Linked DNA regions of Oryzias latipes. The protein of the gene in region 1 purifies or fractionates together with the protein of each later gene. This does not show direct contact. Links are inferred from orthologs where the notes say so. Each region holds a gene or a part of one and is shown in the gene's direction. Other genes may lie near its edges.

Region 1 (3,654 bases):
TATTTCAATTAAGGTTGGGTAGCTTGCTTGGTAAGGTAAAGGGCTGCCACACAGGAATCCAGGCTCTGGATTCCCGGAGGGGAATAAACAATGGTACTGGGGCAATTACCATATCAATGGCGAGCAATTAACATCACTTTGGGCAAGACACTTGCGCTACTGCCTCACTGCTCCCCCAGGGGATGGGTCAAATGCGGAGAAGAATTTTCCCATTGTGGAATAAATAAAGTATCAATTATTATTATTACATTGCAAATATAACCACATCAGTTCAATCAACCTTTTCCTATAAAAAATGTAACAATCAAATTAAAGCAAATGTTTTTTTTAAATTGTACTTAAGTCATATTTGGTCAATATACAAATATGCATGTGTTACAAAATGCTAAAAACCTTAAAATACATTTTTTCTCATGTTTATAAATGTAAGGCAGTGCAGGCTACTTTACCACTGAGGTAATTTTTTTTTTAAATAATAGCTTTACAAAACATGTTTCTTTAGTTATTATTCTTAACTTAATTTGTTGGAAAGTTTAGTTGGAACTTTTTTCTCTTCTTCATCCCAAATGTGAGGGTCATCTGCAGCTGTCAAACCCGTTTTCCTGCCAAAAATACCTACCACAGCTGGGAATGCTGCCCAAAGGCTGCTGGAAGCTATTATAGCCTCAGATATCCATGTTGTCTGAAGCAATAATAAACGGATCTGTCCTCCTTGAATAAGTCCAACATGTCATCATAGGCTGCTGCTTTCTGAAAGCCATGACATCATTCTGGCTGTTCAGCTTTGTTCTAAATGCAGCGGAGCTTGTCTTACCTTCATCCCGTCTTTGTGTCCACAGCTGACTTTGGAGATTTCAATCAATATGATTCTCAGGAATTCCTTCAGAAGTTTGCTCTGTTCCCTATTGTAAGCATCAACTTTGAATTGCTCATCATCATTTCTGAAGATTGGATCAGATTTCTTTTTTTTTTTTTAAATAACAAACTCTGACTCTTTTCTCTGCAGGACTGGATTCAGGACGATCGAGTCCTGGAGGAGGCTACTCAGAAAGTGGCTCTTTTTTATCAGTCTTTCCGGTGAGCCTGTTTTCAGAGCAGAAATGAAAGAAACAAACAGGCCATTGACAAATTAAATAAAAAAAGAAGAACTTGTTTCCATTGCATTTTGATAGTTATTCAGCACATGTAAATGGCTAATGTGTAAAAAACAAAACAAAAAAAACTTAACATTTTTTTAGTAAAGAGAAAAGCATCGCACCAACAAGCAAGAAGTTTAATTATTGTGTAACTATTAGAATGTAATTGTTTGCTTGTTTTTCTTAAGCTCGATAAATACATATTGGTGTTATTAATCTGCTTTGTTTAATAATGTGTGGAAATGATTTCACAAACATTGTCAAATGGATTTGATGATAGATTTCTGCAAATGTATAGAAATACACTTTGGAGCCCAGTTATAGTTACAGGGTTTGATAAAAAATCAGAATTGAAATCAGCAAAAAAAATACAAAAATTGAACACCATTTATAAAATGTTTCCATACATGGGCTAAGGCAGACATGCTGGTACTTCTGCAGGAATGCAACAACTAGAGTGGATGCGTCTTTGCTTCCATGGAACTGAATGAGTAAAGTGATTCTTAAAAGGTTTTGGAAGTGGGACCAACTCTGACCTTAGTTCAGCAGAAGCCCTGAAACCGAGGGTGGAGAAGCCACTCGGAGGGCATTTACTAAACTGTAATGCACAAATCTCTGGATAAGTATCACAAACAAAAGAAAGCGCAGGAAGCTGAAATGTTGGTCTGAAAAAGACAAAAGTGATGGTTTTGAAATGGCTGAAGCCGTTATTTTTTTTTCTCTGTCTCAGAGGGTTACCTGCTCCAGATGCAGAAATGTTGTACATGCAGGAAGTTGAGAAAATGGAAGGATATGCTCAAGAGAACTATCCCGCAAAGGTAAAGCTGAAGTACCCAGTCGTCGTCCCCCCCCCCCCCCCCCCCCCCCCACACACACACACATACACACACACATAAAACAACAATTTTCCTTACATTTGTTTCTGTTGGAGCAGGACAACACAGGCACAGATGTTACTCTGGGTTCCTGCCTTGATGGTATCTTCGTTAAGTATAAAAGCGCTCGCCCGCCTCTGTTGTACAGGTACGTCTGGACCCCGTGTATGTTTTAAAACCTGGGGGGAACTTTGTGTGCTTTCTTTGTCCTGAGACTGCGGCTGCTGCAATTAAAGAAATCTGTGGAGAAAGTTTGAGTTTTGTGGCACAGCTCTGAACTATTCTCAGAATGTGTCATCTCCATTTGAAATTCCGAATTGAAAGTGGCTGAAGGCTAAATGAGTGAAGATGGGAGTAGAAATTGTGGTCAGATCATTTACCCGAAAAGCAGGAACACTTCAGAGTTGTTGTTGTTTTTCCCCCCATACCACCGTGATTTCTAAATATCTATCAAGTGTTCCTGCATATTTCTATTTTTGATTATGAAAAGGCAACAGCAGACTGAAAATGCTGCAGGGTTTTGCTGTGATGGGAATAATGTTTTTTCTTTATTTTCCCTCCCTCCCTCCCTCCCTTTATGTGGCTCTGCGTTAATTGGCTGTGTAGGTGGCATGAAATTAACAACATGAGTCACAATAGGTCCTTTTTTGCCCTGGAGTTGGCCAACAGAGAAGAAAGTGTTCAGTTCCAGACAGTAAGTTTCAACGGCAGCAGCACCAATACTACTCTACTTCGTACTAAAGAACAAGTTCAATTAAAGAAAACATTTAAACATTCTTACCATCAACTGGTTTAAGTTTGAAAACAGCATTTTAATGAAACTTATTTCCTTTCTTCTCATTCGTAGGAGGACATGGAAACATCTAAATATGTGTGCCGGATGTGTTTGGCCAGATTAAAGTTCTATAAGATCAACAAGAGCAGCCTGTGAGTGTTTGCTCAGAAATCCAGCCCACTTCCTGTCTGTGTGTGTCCTGCATGCGTTCTCCTCTTTGATGTTACTTCAAGTCTGTCCTCCTCTCTTTAGAGAGGAGTGTGACACCCAAACTTCTGAGGGCTCCCAGAAGTCTCTTCTTACTTTGTCCTTTCCTCGTTTTCCCATGCTCTCTCGTACCTCTCTGCTCTCTAATAAGGGGTGAGCAACACGTTAGCCACCACCTTCATCATGGTGCTTGCTGGGACGGTGCTTCCCTGTACAGTGTTCCCTTGCTACTATCACCTTTCGCGGTCTTGCTTTTTCCTGTATTTTTTTTTTTTTAGCGCAACTTTGCATGCTTATTTTTTTATTTTTTAACACAGTGAACTGTGTTCTGCATCCTGATTGGCTGTTGACAAAATGCATTCAGGTTGCCACGTTTCTATAAATCTTCAATCGCGATCAGGTCTTTGTTAGTCCTGGACTTATTTTTCTATGAGGGGTTTGAACGTTGAACAAGAGAGAAAAGTGTGAAAATGTTCATGTGTGTCTGAGAAAAGTCTGTAAAGTGTTCAGCGAGGGGTTTAACAGCTTTAAAACATTTGTAATCCTGCATACGCCCTGTGATAAACGAGGGAACACTGTACTATGTAAAGGTTTAACATCATCATTTTACTGACTAACTTAATTTATAATTTACATGTGTGTATAACACACATGTAAATTT
Region 2 (3,654 bases), on another chromosome or scaffold:
AGATGGTCAAAATTAAATGAATTGGATTGAGGAAAAAAAAAACTGATGAGGACATTCCTGGTTTTTTAAACTCGTCTATTCAAACTGTTCTGTGGATTTAAACAAACGTCAAAAGCCAACAAGTGTCTTTTATTTTCTTTTTCTTTCAGATGAATTCAATAGTCTCACTGCTTGACTTCCCAAAAAACTAAAAGAATATTTTAACAAAATAAAAGCATGCTGTAGTCCTCCATTTAAACTACAAAGCTTTAAAGGTTGAAGTAATATTAGACATTCAAAGGCGTCTTTTACTTTTAAAAGGACCGTTGTCATGCAAGTCTTGTTGACAGCAGCTGTTCTTCAAATCAAAGGTGCTCCGAGTCATCATCCAGCAAACGATCGCTACTATTCTCCTCCGCCTCCTCCTGGTCCCAAAGAGGACCGCAGCTGGAGTCCTCGTGTGGACAGCTACGATCTGATGGTGGGGGGACATTAAAACATCAAATGCTGATTTGAAAAGCTGTTGTCGATATTTTTGTTTATTTAATTTGACGACTAAAAAGCTGTTGTCGGTTTTAGCAACTTCCTCCTGAAAAGCCGGGCAGCTATCACTCCAAGATCGATGCGGACATTGACTCCCTGACGGGGATGCTGGCGGATCTGGACAGCCACCCGCAGGACTCCAGCTCCCAGGTTGGCATGGAAACGCAGAATGGAGCAGACGATTGATCGTCAGGGTGAAAGTCTAACACTCCGCCTGTCCACAGCTCTACGACAATGTGCCTTACAACAAGTATGTATCAGGGGAACACTACAAGCCTCAACACCAGAGACCAGCCCCTCCTCAGGGTCAGCCGTCCATGGGCTACGCCTCCCACCCTCAGAACCAGTACCACTCGGCTCCCCCGTATCCCAGCAAGCACCAGGCCCCTCCGTATTCCCACCAGCAGGACTACTACCCGTCCTCCTCCCCTAAGCCCTACCCTCAGCCTGTTCCGGCCTCCTACACCACCGCCTCCACCCCCACCGGGCCCAGGTTCAGCGTGCAGGTGAAAACGGCGCAGCCCGTCACCTACTCCCAAACGGGGAGGCAGGCCGAGCAGGCCTACACCCCGCCGCCCCCTCGCCAGCACCCGTCACGGCCTCCCGCCCAGATCCAGACAGTGCCGCAGGGCTGGTACCCGCCTCACTCCAACTCACCAGTACAGGAGCCCGACGGCGCTTATAAGGGCGGAGTCCCAGGTTCTGTTGGAAGAGTCGGCCAGATCCAGATGTCCAAGAGGGGGATGGAAAACAATCAGGCAGGACAAGGACCGGCTCAGAGTCCTGCTTATCAGTCCACCAAGGTAGGCACTGCAGTTTTCTTCATTTTTAGAGACGACATTTTAATTTAAGTCAAGCTTGATTATTTATGCTTTTTTTGTCAGATCAATTAGGAAGAATTTATGGCAAAAGTTTTCCTTTTTTTTGGCCAGCAGGGGGCAGCAACGATGAGGCCAGAGGAGGAGCTGGATCGGCTCACCAAGAAGCTGGTTTATGACATGAACCACCCTCCTGCAGAGGACTATTTCGGTAGGAAATTGCAATTAATAAGACGATTATTGATTGAAGGAAATGAAATGAACCCTGTGGACTTGTGCTGCACACGAACAGGTCGCTGCGCCCGCTGTGGGGACAACGTGGTGGGTGACGGCAGCGGGTGCATCGCCATGGAGCAGGTGTTCCACGTGGAGTGTTTCACCTGCATCACCTGTCACACGCGGCTTCGGGGGAAGCCGTTCTACGCGCTCGAGAAGAAGAGCTATTGCGAGAACTGTTACATTGTGGGTGAAATACTCCCACCGGCTCCTGTTTTGCGCCACTACGACTGCGTGATTTTGACCATTTTCTGTCTTTTCACTGTGTTTTTTTCAGAGTACGTTGGAGCGCTGTTCCAAATGTTCGAAGCCCATTCTGGACCGCATCTTGCGGGCGATGGGAAAAGCGTACCACCCGCGATGCTTCACCTGTGTGGTCTGTAACTGCTGCCTGGACGGCGTCCCCTTCACTGTGGACGCCACATCTCAGATACACTGCATAGACGACTTCCATCGGTGCGTTCACAACCGTTCGTTTACTGCCTGAATCTATCAAATATGATTCTATCAAGCAAATAAAAAAACAGAAAACTTTATTATGTTTCTACTAAGAATCTTATCAACTTTAGCACCACAGAGATTTTAGATCTAGGATTTTTCTGTTTGCATCTATTTAGACAAAGACATTCAGGTTTGAGGTGCAAAGTCGATACTATTTTTCAAAATAAAAGTCTGTACACATTAGTTACTGGTGCATGACGAAGTATTAAAAGTAAAGAAATCAATATATATGAAAAAAGTCAACATTTTACCAGAAGAAACTCATATTTACCACAGATTTATGAATAAAAATCAAACTTTTACAGTAATAAAGTTATCATTTCATAAGTGAGAATGTATGTGATTAAATTTCATAAATTTATGAGGCAAATGTCAGTTTACTAAAAGAAAATAGAAACAACAACAAAAAGAACCAATATGGTGTTTTATTTCGACGTAGAGCACATTGGAAGCTGTTCCTTCATCATTGGTTAGACGAATCAGGCGGACGCTGTTGACTCTGTTGGCAGTAAAGCTGCAGAGGTCCAAATGCATTATGGGACATAGATTCCTATGATAGACTAAAGCCTTATGATATCACCATAAATGGTGCATTGATGGATTTGGTCGATGGGTAATGTGGATGGAGGCCATAACCATTTTTCTTTTCAAAAATTGTAACATTACAAACTCTTTCTCTTAATTATATGACATTATCCTTGTTAATCTCCTCAACCGCTCCAACATGATTCAGCTGATTCTGACATGGAGAAAAGCAGCGTTCCATATCGGCTTTGCACCAATGTCCAACACGTTACTAACAAAGTGTTCCATGGCGGCCCGACGCCACTTTTTTGCCACGAAAAAAATCAACAAAATGTATGTTGATTGTATAAACACTTCACCACTGTAAAGTGGTGGACATCAGCTCAAGGCTGCTTTTCTCCGCTTCAGAATTACGTTAATTGCTTAAAAATGTGAAGAGTTCCGGGAGTGGAAAGCTACGAGGTTAAAGGGTTTAACTCTGTACAACCCGTGCTAGCCGTGTTCTCGGCCTATCACCAACCACGCTTTTGTTTTTTAAACTTGTCCAACAGCTGAGCAAACAGATAAGATCTGAAGGCCTCTTGTGTTGGACATATTTTACTGTCACAACATGGGGTTATGAATTTTCTAACACACAAGGTGTATGTTTAAATGAATTTAGACTAAACTTTATTTAGCCCAGCATTTATGACATCCCATAAGCCCAGCTTACCACATCAGAGGAGAGCTGCAGCGAAGTTGGACTCTTTATGAACGTGTAATTTCATTCTGTTATTGCATTCATATATTTTGTAGGAAATACGCCCCTCGCTGCTCAGTGTGTGGTGAACCCATCATGCCTGAACCCGGACAGGAGGAGACTGTCAGGATTGTAGCTCTGGACCGCAGCTTCCACGTCGACTGCTACGTCTGTGAGGTATCGCCGCCAGAACACTGAATCCACTCCATTCATTTATTAGATCAAAGTCCTGTTGAAGCCCTGGTAGATTAGAAATCAAAACAACAGCTTTAG
Region 3 (3,654 bases), on another chromosome or scaffold:
AAGTTGCTGCTCGACGTTTGTCCAAAAGTGTGTTAACCCAAAGCTCTCGCCGAATGTGGGAGGAGCTTCTGTGAAAAGCTTTTCTCGGCCTCATCCCAGAGGACGGGGATGATGACAGATCAGGTTTCCTTACAAAAGCATCAGTGAGCAGTGCGCATCTCCATGGGTGGATTCATGAGATCATTCAATCGCTCCGCCTGTAACCAGTTGGAGGGGTTTATAGCAGCAGGAGACACAGTAAATGAATGTAAAGTTGTAAATTCTGACATCCCCCGCACATCCAATTACTTAAAATTGGATATTTGTAGAGGTAGCAATAAACACCATTTTAAATTAATTGTTATCATCCATGGGCTGCACGGTGGCGCAGTGGTTAGCGCTCTTGCCTCACAGCAAGAAGGCCCCCGGTTCAAGTCCCGGTTGGGGGACATAAAAAACACAACATCAATGGGGGACCTTTCTGTGTGGAGTTGGCATGTTCTCCCCGTGTGTGCGTGGGTTTTCTCCGGGATCTCCGGCTTCCTCCCACTGTCCAAAAAACATGCTACATAGGTTGATTGGCAACTCTAAATTGTCCATAGGTGTGAGTGTGAGAGTGAATGAATGTGTAATTGAGGATATTCTACCCTGCGACAGACTGGCGACCAGTCCAGGGCATCCCTTGCCTACGCCCAAGTGGCCGGGATAGGCTCCGGCAACCCCGTGACCCCGAAAGGGAATAAAACGGTTAAGAAGATGAATGAATGAATGAATGTTATCATCCATAAGTTTGCTTTACCTACATTAAAAGATGATCAAAACTGACTATAATGCTCTGTGGGTAGCTGAGATTTTTGTTGTTCCATTTGCTAATTTAGACACAGCGCCCCCCACCTTTAATGGTGGTTGTGTGCAACTGCAGTTCCAAACGCCTTAAAGTCAGGTCCTAACTTAGAAACACTCGATCACTTGTTCTGTTTTAATGGTTTTAGCTAATGCGGCTAATAATCAGTTGCCACCAATTTCTTTATCTAAGCAAAACTCTGGAATCAGTGGGAATCTGAGGGATTCTGAGGGCTAACGGTCTTAAAATAGATCCTACATTTTTATAGATGATTTTTTGGTGTTTGTTTGGGTTATTTTTTGCTTTAAAGAACCAGACTTTTTTTTAATTTTTTTTTTATTGCAAACAAAAAGAGAATTGTTACATAAATGAAATTCAATGAAACAAAGAAATAGTTACATATTTGTAATACAACTTGGGCAGTTTTTTTTTTTTTCAAACACCACTCTCCCGTCTCCCCACCCCCGCAAAAAAGGGAAAATAAATTAATTAATAAATAAAAAAAGAACACCCTCAAACCCCCCTCTCCAGGCTATGATATACATTGTCCAATGTAACAAAAGCTTACCTCTATATGATCAACTCTAAAAATGGCAACATAAAATAGAGAAATATAGGTACATATAGAGCTGATTTGATATTTATACGTAAAAATATAAGAATAATAATAATACTAATGCTAATAATGTTAATAATAATTAAGAAGAGTTGGAATATTTTAAACTATAAACTACAGGGATGTGATGGTAGAATGTGAGGAGGTCTCAGGTAGAATTCTGAGTTTGCCAAAGTGATCTAAAACCGGACCCCAGACTGAGAAAATTTGTCCCTCGATCTTCAAACTGAATATTTTATTTTTTCAAGTTGTAATAGTTGCATAAGGTCCATCAGCCACTGGGACACCCTGGGTGGGTCTTTAGATTTCCAGTGCAATAATATACGGCGCCTTGCTATTAGAGTAGCAAAAGCAAGAATGTCTTTGTGTCTTTTTCTTAATGGATCTGGGTTTTGGTGTGAAACACCAAAGATGGCTAATGCACCAGACTTTAGCAGACAGTTACACCTCTTTGCTCTTTCAGCATCTGCAGACACTTGGAACTTGTCTCGTTTCTGTAAAGGAGTTGTTGCAGCCTTTTCAAACAACACAGAGGATCTAGCAAACATTTTCAAAAGGCACAGAACAGCAGAACAAAGCGGAGTTTCACTGAGGCAAAGAGAGGAAAGCAACAAGTGCTTTCTTTTAGAAACATTGTAGGAGAACGGTCTGTCCTTGCCGGTGTCCACAGACCTGCAAGACGTCAACAGACACCTTTAATCTGTAAAAAATATTTATTTAATACGCAAACAACCGAAGTGTAATCGATTGGTAGGACTACTTACTGTAGTATTTAGGAGACATCCTCTTTGCAGTTTTTAATTCAGCAACTCTTACTAGCATTGAACTGATGAGCTTTGTCAGCAGCCTCCATTTCCCACAATTCTCTTTAATTCTGTTGATTCTTTTCCACGGCTTTTGAATCAGCAAGAGAAATATTGAGGCTTTTCTGCAATGTTTCTGCTGGCTAAGACCAGCCTCAGATTCCCCAACAATTTATAAATTCTGACCGTTCTGCTGAATTTCATTTTTATTTTTCCCAGATGTTTAATATAATGAAACCTGGAATGAAAATAATGACTACACTGCTAAAAGCATATTAAGATGCTTAGACCATAAGGAAGGTTTCTATTCATGCATGTCTGTGTAAATACTTGGATTATTTTTATCAGTAAGAAGGTTTCACAGATAATTTAAATGAATTGCTAAACAGAAATGCTGCACTCCTGTCGCCTCAAACCTGAACCGATAGCTAGAAAAAAAGGGGTTTTCTTATTTCTAAACCTTTTTTTTCTCGTTTGTTGTGTTTTTCCCCACATCTCACTTTGCAGAGAGTGGTTTTTCCTCTTGTCCCATGAAGTGCTGAACCCCATGTACTGCCTGTTCGAGTACGCCGGCAAAAGCAACTACTGTCTGCAGATCAACCCGGCCTCTGCCATCAACCCCGACCACCTCTCCTACTTCTGCTTCATCGGCCGCTTCATAGCAATGGCACGCCCACACACACACGCACATCCCTCTCAGTTACATTTATATTCATTTCAATCAATTTTTGTTGCTTCCTTTTAGGCACTTTTCCATGGGAAGTTCATCGACACGGGCTTCTCTTTGCCTTTCTATAAGCGCATGCTTAACAAGAAGCTGATCCTCAAAGACCTGGAGTCCATCGACCCAGAGTTCTACAACTCCCTCATATGGATCAGGTCTGCCATGTTTTTCAGAGACTTGCAAGCTTACAAATGTTTTAAAACTTTGATTTTGTTCTTTATTTACTGTAAGTCAGTCCTTGAAGTCAGCTTACAGAAACTAGGAAGACTTATGATGGGTGATCTCTCTATTTCTGTGAAGCTTTACGTTTGTAGAACAAAACCACAGAACATAACATTTATGTCAATTCTGAATTAGGAGGAGTTCATGTAATTTATGAAAAGAGGTTATATTTGACCTATATTTCAAAATAAATGGCAACATTTTCCATCATAGACCAAATTTGATCCTTTAGATCAGTGTTTTTCAAGCAGTGTGCTGTGGGAGATGGTCAGGTGTGCCGTGGGAAATTACCCATTTTCACTGATCTAAAAACATTTCCCATCTCCAGGATATCAGCTCTTTGTTCATCCAAACAGGCCCTAAAAAAACCACTGATTAGTTAGGAATATGAAAGATCATAAAATACTTTTTTCTTTGTATTTATTTGATTTGTTTAAGGACATTTTGATAAGAATGACGGTACCGC

What was found.
Region 2: the proteins of ptpn21 (region 1) and trip6 purify together in Homo sapiens (affinity purification with mass spectrometry; 3 studies listed by BioGRID and IntAct, with this or other methods). This does not show direct contact. The link is inferred for Oryzias latipes from reciprocal best matches to the Homo sapiens genes PTPN21 and TRIP6.
Region 3: the proteins of ptpn21 (region 1) and wwp1 purify together in Homo sapiens (affinity purification with mass spectrometry; 3 studies listed by BioGRID). This does not show direct contact. The link is inferred for Oryzias latipes from reciprocal best matches to the Homo sapiens genes PTPN21 and WWP1.

The regions. Positions count from the first base shown.
Region 1 is NC_019880.2:6,994,494-6,998,147, forward strand, and holds part of ptpn21 (tyrosine-protein phosphatase non-receptor type 21), read left to right. Parts: intron 1-839; coding exon 840-907; intron 908-1,006; coding exon 1,007-1,077; intron 1,078-1,866; coding exon 1,867-1,954; intron 1,955-2,070; coding exon 2,071-2,159; intron 2,160-2,617; coding exon 2,618-2,705; intron 2,706-2,858; coding exon 2,859-2,938; intron 2,939-3,038; coding exon 3,039-3,146; intron 3,147-3,654.
Region 2 is NC_019876.2:14,752,639-14,756,292, reverse strand, and holds part of trip6 (thyroid receptor-interacting protein 6), read left to right. Parts: intron 1-350; coding exon 351-460; intron 461-558; coding exon 559-672; intron 673-746; coding exon 747-1,325; intron 1,326-1,454; coding exon 1,455-1,551; intron 1,552-1,632; coding exon 1,633-1,802; intron 1,803-1,893; coding exon 1,894-2,072; intron 2,073-3,437; coding exon 3,438-3,558; intron 3,559-3,654. UniProt on the Homo sapiens protein: Relays signals from the cell surface to the nucleus to weaken adherens junction and promote actin cytoskeleton reorganization and cell invasiveness. Involved in lysophosphatidic acid-induced cell adhesion and migration.
Region 3 is NC_019878.2:10,274,770-10,278,423, reverse strand, and holds part of wwp1 (NEDD4-like E3 ubiquitin-protein ligase WWP1), read left to right. Parts: intron 1-2,749; coding exon 2,750-2,909; intron 2,910-2,987; coding exon 2,988-3,121; intron 3,122-3,654. UniProt on the Homo sapiens protein: E3 ubiquitin-protein ligase which accepts ubiquitin from an E2 ubiquitin-conjugating enzyme in the form of a thioester and then directly transfers the ubiquitin to targeted substrates.